Solanum lycopersicum: one gene and its partner. The protein of the gene in region 1 binds, or shares a complex with, the protein of each later gene. Links are inferred from orthologs where the notes say so. Each region holds a gene or a part of one and is shown on either strand. Other genes may lie near its edges.

Evidence for each region.
Region 2: AUGMIN subunit 4 (region 1) and AUGMIN subunit 2 share a complex: the UniProt entries of both Arabidopsis thaliana proteins name them as parts of the augmin complex. The link is inferred for Solanum lycopersicum from reciprocal best matches to the Arabidopsis thaliana genes AUG4 and AUG2.

Annotation. Positions count from the first base shown.
Region 1 is NC_090811.1:422,786-427,070, reverse strand, and holds the start of AUGMIN subunit 4, read left to right. Parts: upstream 1-1,362; 5' UTR 1,363-2,222; coding exon 2,223-2,351; intron 2,352-2,440; coding exon 2,441-2,488; intron 2,489-2,559; coding exon 2,560-2,685; intron 2,686-3,040; coding exon 3,041-3,373; intron 3,374-3,597; coding exon 3,598-3,697; intron 3,698-4,182; coding exon 4,183-4,228; intron 4,229-4,285. Other genes in the region: ATP synthase gamma chain, chloroplastic-like, read right to left, coding at 249-1,298. UniProt on the Arabidopsis thaliana protein: Involved in microtubules reorganization during spindle and phragmoplast development.
Region 2 is NC_090807.1:4,192,810-4,196,467, reverse strand, and holds part of AUGMIN subunit 2, read left to right. Parts: intron 1-2,977; coding exon 2,978-3,091; intron 3,092-3,658. UniProt on the Arabidopsis thaliana protein: Contributes to the assembly of the acentrosomal spindle and phragmoplast microtubule arrays as part of the augmin complex.

The DNA.
Region 1 (4,285 bases):
AACAAGCATAAGTAACATACTGTACAGCATGATTATACTTGGACTCACTTCTTACATCCTTCTTCTAAAAAACAAATTATAAAAATATGGGATACTGAATAACCAATGGGAAAAAAAATCATAAATTTTTTTATTCATACATACACACATATAGAAAGAGATGATCTCTCCCTTTAAGACAGATTGGAACAAGGGATTATCAACTTAAAGCAATGGTTTTCTTAAACATCCTACAGAAATTTCAGCATCTATGTAATTAGTGCATCTGCTCCAGCAACAATTTCCAATATCTCACCTGTGATCTTCGCCTGCCTTTCCCGATTATAAGCAATAGAAAGGTTCCTCCTCAACTCAACAGCATTATCCGTTGCACTAGTCATTGCATTCATCCTAGCTGCAACCTCACTTGCAAATGACTCTTGAAGTGCCCTTAAAATCTGGCTATTCAAATATAATGGCATCAATGCATCAAGAATCTGAGCAGGATCTTGCTCATACTCTAAATTACGCAAAAATTCCCCCTTTTTCACCCTCAAATCCCTCACCACACTCAGTTTACCTTCCTTACTAGTCAACCTAAAAAACTCATCTTCATCAAAAAACTCCTCTCCTCTTAATGGGAGCAAAGTATGAATCACCGGATCAGATTTAATCAACGAAACAAATTTAGTGTACAAAAGCTCTACTTTATCAACTTGTTCACTAATAAACAAAGAAAAAACATCATCAGCTATAACCTGAGCCTCTTTAGCAGTCGGAAAACTCTCAAATCTATCAACAACAAATCTATCAACATTCCGAAAATAAGCATTACTCTTCTTACCAACACTAATCAAAGTATACCCAATTCCAAGACTCGTCAATTCCGCCATCCGGCTCTCTGCTTTCTTAAAAATCCCATTGTTAAAACCACCACAAAGACCTCTTTCACCTCCAATAACAACAAGGCCAACTTTCTTTACCGGTCTTATTTCTGTCAACGGTATATCTACCTCTTCAAACTGAAGCTGTTGGGTGATGTTGTACAACATATCAACAAGGGTTTCAGCAAAGGGTCGAGTACTGATGACTGCTTCTTGTGCTCGACGAATCTTAGCGGCTGCGACTAGTTTCATTGCTTCTGTAACTTTTTGGGTTTTGTTGATTGTGTCGATTCTTCCTCGTAGTTCACGAATACCACACTGAATTGAACGAAGGGGAAGTTGCAGGGATCGGAAACTAGGGTTTCTATTGGTTAGTTTAGGATCACAAATGGGAAAGTTGACGACATGACAAGTGAAAGAGAGTGAAGAAGCCATTGATTACAGACGACACACTGGAGAAATATACCCTACTTTAATTTGTAATTAGATGAGTTTTACTACTCCCTATTTAGTTGTCCTTCCATTTGACCATAAATTTTTCAAATTATTTTACAAATAATTTTTTTCATATAATTTATTATTTATTTGACAAATATTTCAAATTTTTAATATTAATTTTTAAGATTTGAGCCAAATCTCATTATTTGGAATTCTTTTTAAAATTAAAATTTTATTTCAAACTTTTATTTTTTATAAAAACGCCCTCTGTAATAGTTATTTGCATTATATTACATAATTCTTTTTACGTAAACACCAAAATAATAATATTCTATATTTAGTGAAAATTAAATAATGATATGATTGTTAATCATAAATTAGTAGAATCTACATTGTTTTATTGAATTTCTCACTTACAATTCCTTTTGTGAAAAATTCCTATATTTGAGGCAATAGAATGGATGTTCTTTGGCCAATTCTCTTTCACAGATTGTTTGTCGCACGTTTTGGTTTATTATAATTGTTTGTATTGATTTAGACAAATTATCTACTGAATTATTTACATTTTGTAGCAATTAGTTTGAGAAATACTTGAATTAGTTGCTGATGGCTGACAACGTTTATTCATTCAATTTTTGCATCAATTCTCCTTTCGTACTATTAAAGTTGATATTTTTACTAAATCTGCATTTTAAATAACTATGTTTGAGTATAACGGAAATATTTATTAGTAATACTATATTAATCCTAAAAATTAAAGAAGAAATAAAAAAATTATCCCTACCATTAATTTTTAATTTTGTTATGTTAGAAAAAACCAAAAATACTTTACTTTTAACAAAGTAAAAAACTCAAATAATATTTGAAGAATCAAAATCCAAGTCCAAAAAATTCAGTGATTTGAATTGAATCGCCGGAGAAATGGGAAGAGGTTTGGGTTCGCAAAACTTGCCGGCGGACGTCGCTCAGCTGATCGATCAGTTAGACCGCCATTGTTTAGCCCCTGATGGATCTCTCATCTCCAAATCCGCTCACTACGATCTCCAACTTGTATTTTCTAATCTCTCTACAATGCTTATTATTTGATCGTTAAGGTAAACCAAACACTCAAAAAAATGATTTATTTTTGGGCATTGCAGGCGAGAGAAGAGATGTCAAAGGAGAGACAACGATACTTGGAATCTTTGGTAGGATTTCTATTTTTGGGTTAACATTTTCATTTTTTTCCTGATTGCCTTTGTCTGGATAAACCTTATAGGCAATATACATTGAAGCAACTGCGATGGTAGAGGATTACCAGCAGGCCATTTCTGTGGCTAATCTTGGTGGTATGAGAGATGTCCAGGGTTTATACTCTCAATTGGGCTTGAAAAACCCTCCTCAGGTTCCACTTTTTTTCAGTTTATTCGATTTTATGGATGCTGTTTGGGTAAAAGGATTCTCTTTTTAGTTCACTGACATTACAGGCCTGCCTTGGGTATACGTATTTTGTGCACGATTTTTTACTAAAAGATTGCACGTACCGTCTAGTGCATGCTTATGCACACCCGTATAGATTGTGTACTGATAAACAAATTGATTATCAATAGATGAGAATGAATGATAAGTTTAAGGTGTTATGCATTGTACATTTTTTAGGCTCTGACGATAGAGTTCTGCAGACAAGTTTTTTTTTTTTTGGTTCATTGTTCAAATTGTTTTAAGTTTTCTGGGTGATTTTGGCTCTGGAATGACTTCAGGTTTATGAGGCTCTTGAGCATAGGATGGTTGTTGCAGAAGCAGCACAGAGATTGAGGCTTCCTCTTATCTCCAAAGACGGTGAGATTCACGAGGAGGAAATTGAAAAGTGGAGTACAATGTCAAGAAGTTCTTTTGATAGCACAAGCACCAGCATTACATTAAGCTCGAGCTCAAACTCAGCTTATCAAACCAATGCATCTGCAATTGGAGCTGTTCCTACTATTAGTACAACTGATTCAACAGAACCAGATGTTGGTGGTGTTCCCAATCGGTTCCTTGGAATTACACCTGCATATTTATGGCAAACTCAACTACATCAGATGTCATCAGTGGTATAATATACCTATTTGATTGACGTGATAACCTCATGGTCTTGTGGGGAAATCTTTTCTGTTTTCCAATTAATCTTCAATGAAAGTGTTGTAGTTGTCTTTTATTTGTGTACATTTATCGATGCTTTGATTGCTTGTTACCTACAAACGTGGAATCGCTATTCATCTGGTTATCAAGTGTTAGTTCTACACGCCCATAGATGCTTATATGTCTGCTATTGTAGGACGTGGCAGAATACCAGAGATTACTTTCACGGGAGATTGGTGGCCGGTTAGATGCTAAATGTGATAAGTTAGCTGATGCAGTTGCTATTGATGACATTGGTGAGTTTAAGTTGCTAATTTGTCTTCCTTTATCTTCCCTTGGTGCTTGGCCTTTCAATATGTTTGTTGGTTGCCGAATTTCTACTTGTTTTCCTCTTAAACAAAACCAGCGTTTATAAATAAGACCTGGACATCTATGTCAGTTTTATAATTAGCCCCTATATACATATTATTATTTGAATGGGTATAATATGTAGTCAATTTGATTGTAATGTTTCAAATTGTGGTGCAAATAGGAAAAATCTACTGCTGAGGTGCATAAGTTCTAGATTTACTTGTTATCCATTTACACAAAACTGTGCCCCATTGCTCCTCAGGGATTTCTTGGTTATAGTTTTTTCTTGATTTACTCATGTCAGTGTATTCTTCAGAGGCTGGTTGAGTAGTTCTCTTACTATTTAAGTAACAGAACTTTTAGAAGTTGTTGTTCTCATATCAAGATTTCTGTAAGAATACAAGTATATAACCTTACCTTGATTCTACAGATATATCTGCTGCCAGTCAAAATTCAGCTGCCAGACTTCCAGAGAGGTCTCTCCCTCTGAACTTATGTTTCTAAATTTATGATTTATCTGAATCATTTATAAA
Region 2 (3,658 bases), on another chromosome or scaffold:
TTTGAATAAATAAAAGTGTTCAATTGGTACTGGTCCTAGTTGAGGTGTCTAAGTGAATTATGATGACAACTTTAAGGGGCCGCATATGAAATAAGCCAACAATATATATATATATATATATATATATACACACACACACACTGACTACTAAAGAGTTTTAATCTCATTTGCGAAATATGATTTTTGTGGAAGATTGGGAAAAAACAACATAGGTATGTGAGAGAATTTTCACAGAATCTTATTTTATTAAATTCATTGCATTTGGCTAGCATAATATTGTGAATATCTTATTTGACATTTTAAGACTTTTTAACATTATATTCATCAGCATCGGTATTTACAATCAAAGATGGCCCAGTCCAAAATCTACAAGGAGTTGAAAAATTCATATTTTTTATGCATTCTTTACATAATTTATTTACACGGAATATAAAAGACAAAAACAGTTCCTATTTTCCTGTATAGAGCAGCTCATGTCTTCAAAGCACCTAGTTTTCCTTTCTTTCCACACAGTTCACCTCTTATACAAGCTTGGAAAAACATTCCACCATTTTTTCTGTCTAATACTTCCTGTCTAATTGCTCCAAGTCCACAAAAGATCCTTTGTATCTTTGGCATTACCTATTTAATAATTTAACCTCAGCCAAAGACAAGGATAGTTGCTAAATAGTTCAGTAACCTTTGCTATGCAGAAATAAATAGCTATGGTTCTCTGCCTCCTCCTGACACAAAAAACACCAAGAGCTCAGCTGTGTCCCCTTTTAACAGTGTAAACAGGCAACTTTGAATGGAGCCTCGACTTTCCAAAGAAATTTCCAAGGCCAGTCAGGGTGAATGGAATCAGTACCTGACAGAGAGTGATAGGCAGAACTGATTGTAAACCTTATTTTGCTGCTTCCATTCCAAACCACGGAGTCCTCAAAATTTCGAGGACCATGAAAGACCTCTTGTGTCTTCAGAATTTCAGCCATCCTTTCAATCTCCTAGTCATACAACAATCTTCTAAAAGAGATATTCCATTCCTGTTGACTCCATGCATCCTCAATTGTAGCTTCAGGTGTAGAGGCCAAACAGAACAATCTGGATATAATTCTTTTAAACGACCATGTCCTAACCAATTATCATTCCACAAGAATGTCTTCCTTCCATTGCCAATCCTGAATTCAATGTTTATCACAAAGTTCTCCCAAAATTTCCTGATGTCTTTCTTAATACTAACCCCAAAAGAAGAATTCACTGGTTTAGTGCACCACCATATTTTTGATTTATTGTCTTCCTCCAGAAAACATTATTTTCAGTATTATCTATTATGTCTCCATCCTTCCCTACGTAATAACGCACACCAATTTTAATCTGAGAAAAGTTGCCAATGTTCTAGAATTCCTACATCTCTTTTTCCCTGGGTTGATTGCTTTCCATTTCGGTGACACTATCCAAACAGCTAGTAACTACCCTGGTCTATCTGTAGTATTTTGTTTTCAAAATAAGCGAACTATAATTCTATAAGTTACCTTATAACCCCGAGTTTGAGCGAGCATGATGAAAGTCAAGAAAGAAAACTTAATTTCTTAGTAGTTACATTAGCCAGAGAATAATTAGAAGTGCAGAATATTCATAATATATGTCTTATAATTAAGAAACATAAATATTACAAAATTTTTCGCTGAAAACTCTTATATATTTTTTTTTGAGCAAGGTAAAGTTATATTCCTCAGCAATGTGGGTATGCTGTCAACCATCAAAAAAATTACAGTGCAAGTAACCATCAAAACTCTTATATTAGGAGCTCTTTGATGAGTTTTTAACCAGTTAATCTGAACAAGATTTTTCTGCTATACCACACCGTCAGTAATTAGTTCTTTTCTAAAAATTGCATAAGTTAACTTATCAAAAATGTAAAAATTGTATTAGTACACCTGTTTTTACAACTTCAATTAGTTCTCTAGATCGAAAAATTCCTGTTATTTTGCCAATATTGTTAATATCACCTCATTAAAACTTCTTAAAGCTGGCTTTTGAACAAACATGAAATCATAAAACCAAATTATTAGAAGTATCTCATTATATTTTAAATTCTTCCCTGATCTGATGTTTGTCATTGCTTTGATTTATCAACAAGAATGAGTATTGTTTTCATAATACCAAATCTCTAATTCTTTATTCTTCTGCTATTATGTGCACCATTGCTACACAATTTCAAAAGCACTTCAGCATTGTCAACACAAATTAAAAATATATAAACAGGCAACAACAATTCATGATACACGTACACACTGAATGTGGGACACTTTGCCGAAGAGCTACTGCTTAGTCCTTGTCTTTCCCTTTTGAAACTTAAACACCCAGTAAGAAAAACTAAGAGGAGGAGATGTTTTGATAACATAATGATTGTGGAATGCAGGATGCACCTATTTATTGTTGTAGGATGCAATCTTCAGTAGTCATTATGTGTGGGTTCTATGTAACGAGAGGAACATGAGAGCATTTGAAGAAGTAGATACTGATTTTGTTAAATTGCATTGTAGTCCTCTGTTCATGTTTCTTTTCGGTGTACCCTTGAAGTTCCTATGTGTGTAGATGACTGGATTGCTTTCTTAGAGAACCATACATATTTTGGTGTAGGTTGTCTGTGTTTCGGTATACTGCTTGTACTTGTATACGAGGTTGTCCGCCATCATTAATAAAAAAATTTACCTTATCAAAATAAGGATAACCTACATCTAATATTTAGTTGAAAGAGGAACTAACTAGATACTACATCAACTGTTCGCTTTAACGCGCCCTACTATACATTATCTACTTTGTAAAAACAGAGACTCGAAGTAGTTATATCACTGATGCATCCCTATGTATCCTGAGAGGAAGAACCCGGATGCTTCTATAATCTATACCACTCTTCTAGCTATTTAAAATAGTTCATTTGATCATTCAGACACATGACGAGCTAATAGATGTTGTATGTAATTGAATTGTGCAGAAACAATTTTCAGAATTGCTGATGAGGGCTGCCAGTGATTATGGAGCTTTGACGGCCTCCGTAACAGATTTTCAGTGGAGTCAGAATTTTAAAGAGCCACCAACAGTATGGGGGGTATGCACTTCTTCCTTTTTCAATCCTGCTGATAAACTTTTTCTTCATATATTGTCAAAATAAAACTAATTTGTCTTGATGGTTTGAGTTTGAAGCATTATTTGTAAAATTGTATATAATATGTTTTAGGTGGACACTATCATTTATTTTTGTATGTTGGTGTTCCTGAATCAGTAAAGAATAAATGGCATCATCATGTTAGCATATATCTGTTCTGGTGACAGTCAGGTCCTTGGCAGCTCATGTTTTATTCCCTATTTTTCTACTGCAAGAAGATATTGAGATTCATTTTGTGGAAGGTGTGTCACTCTAGTTCTAACTTCTAGATACACTTCGATGGAAAGAATATTGTAGAACTCAATAAGGAAAAAATAAAATAGTATGTGTAGTTTTAGTTAGTAGGAGCTATAGCTGTCAAATAGGGACGTAGATGTTGATGCAGCTAGATGTTGGAATGTTTGAATCTCTATAGAAGCAACACATTTGTATGTGCGTTCAGGTAATAGTAAGACTGATTCAAGAAGTTGCATCTGCAAAAGGATTAAAGGAAATAAGAATCTATGAAAT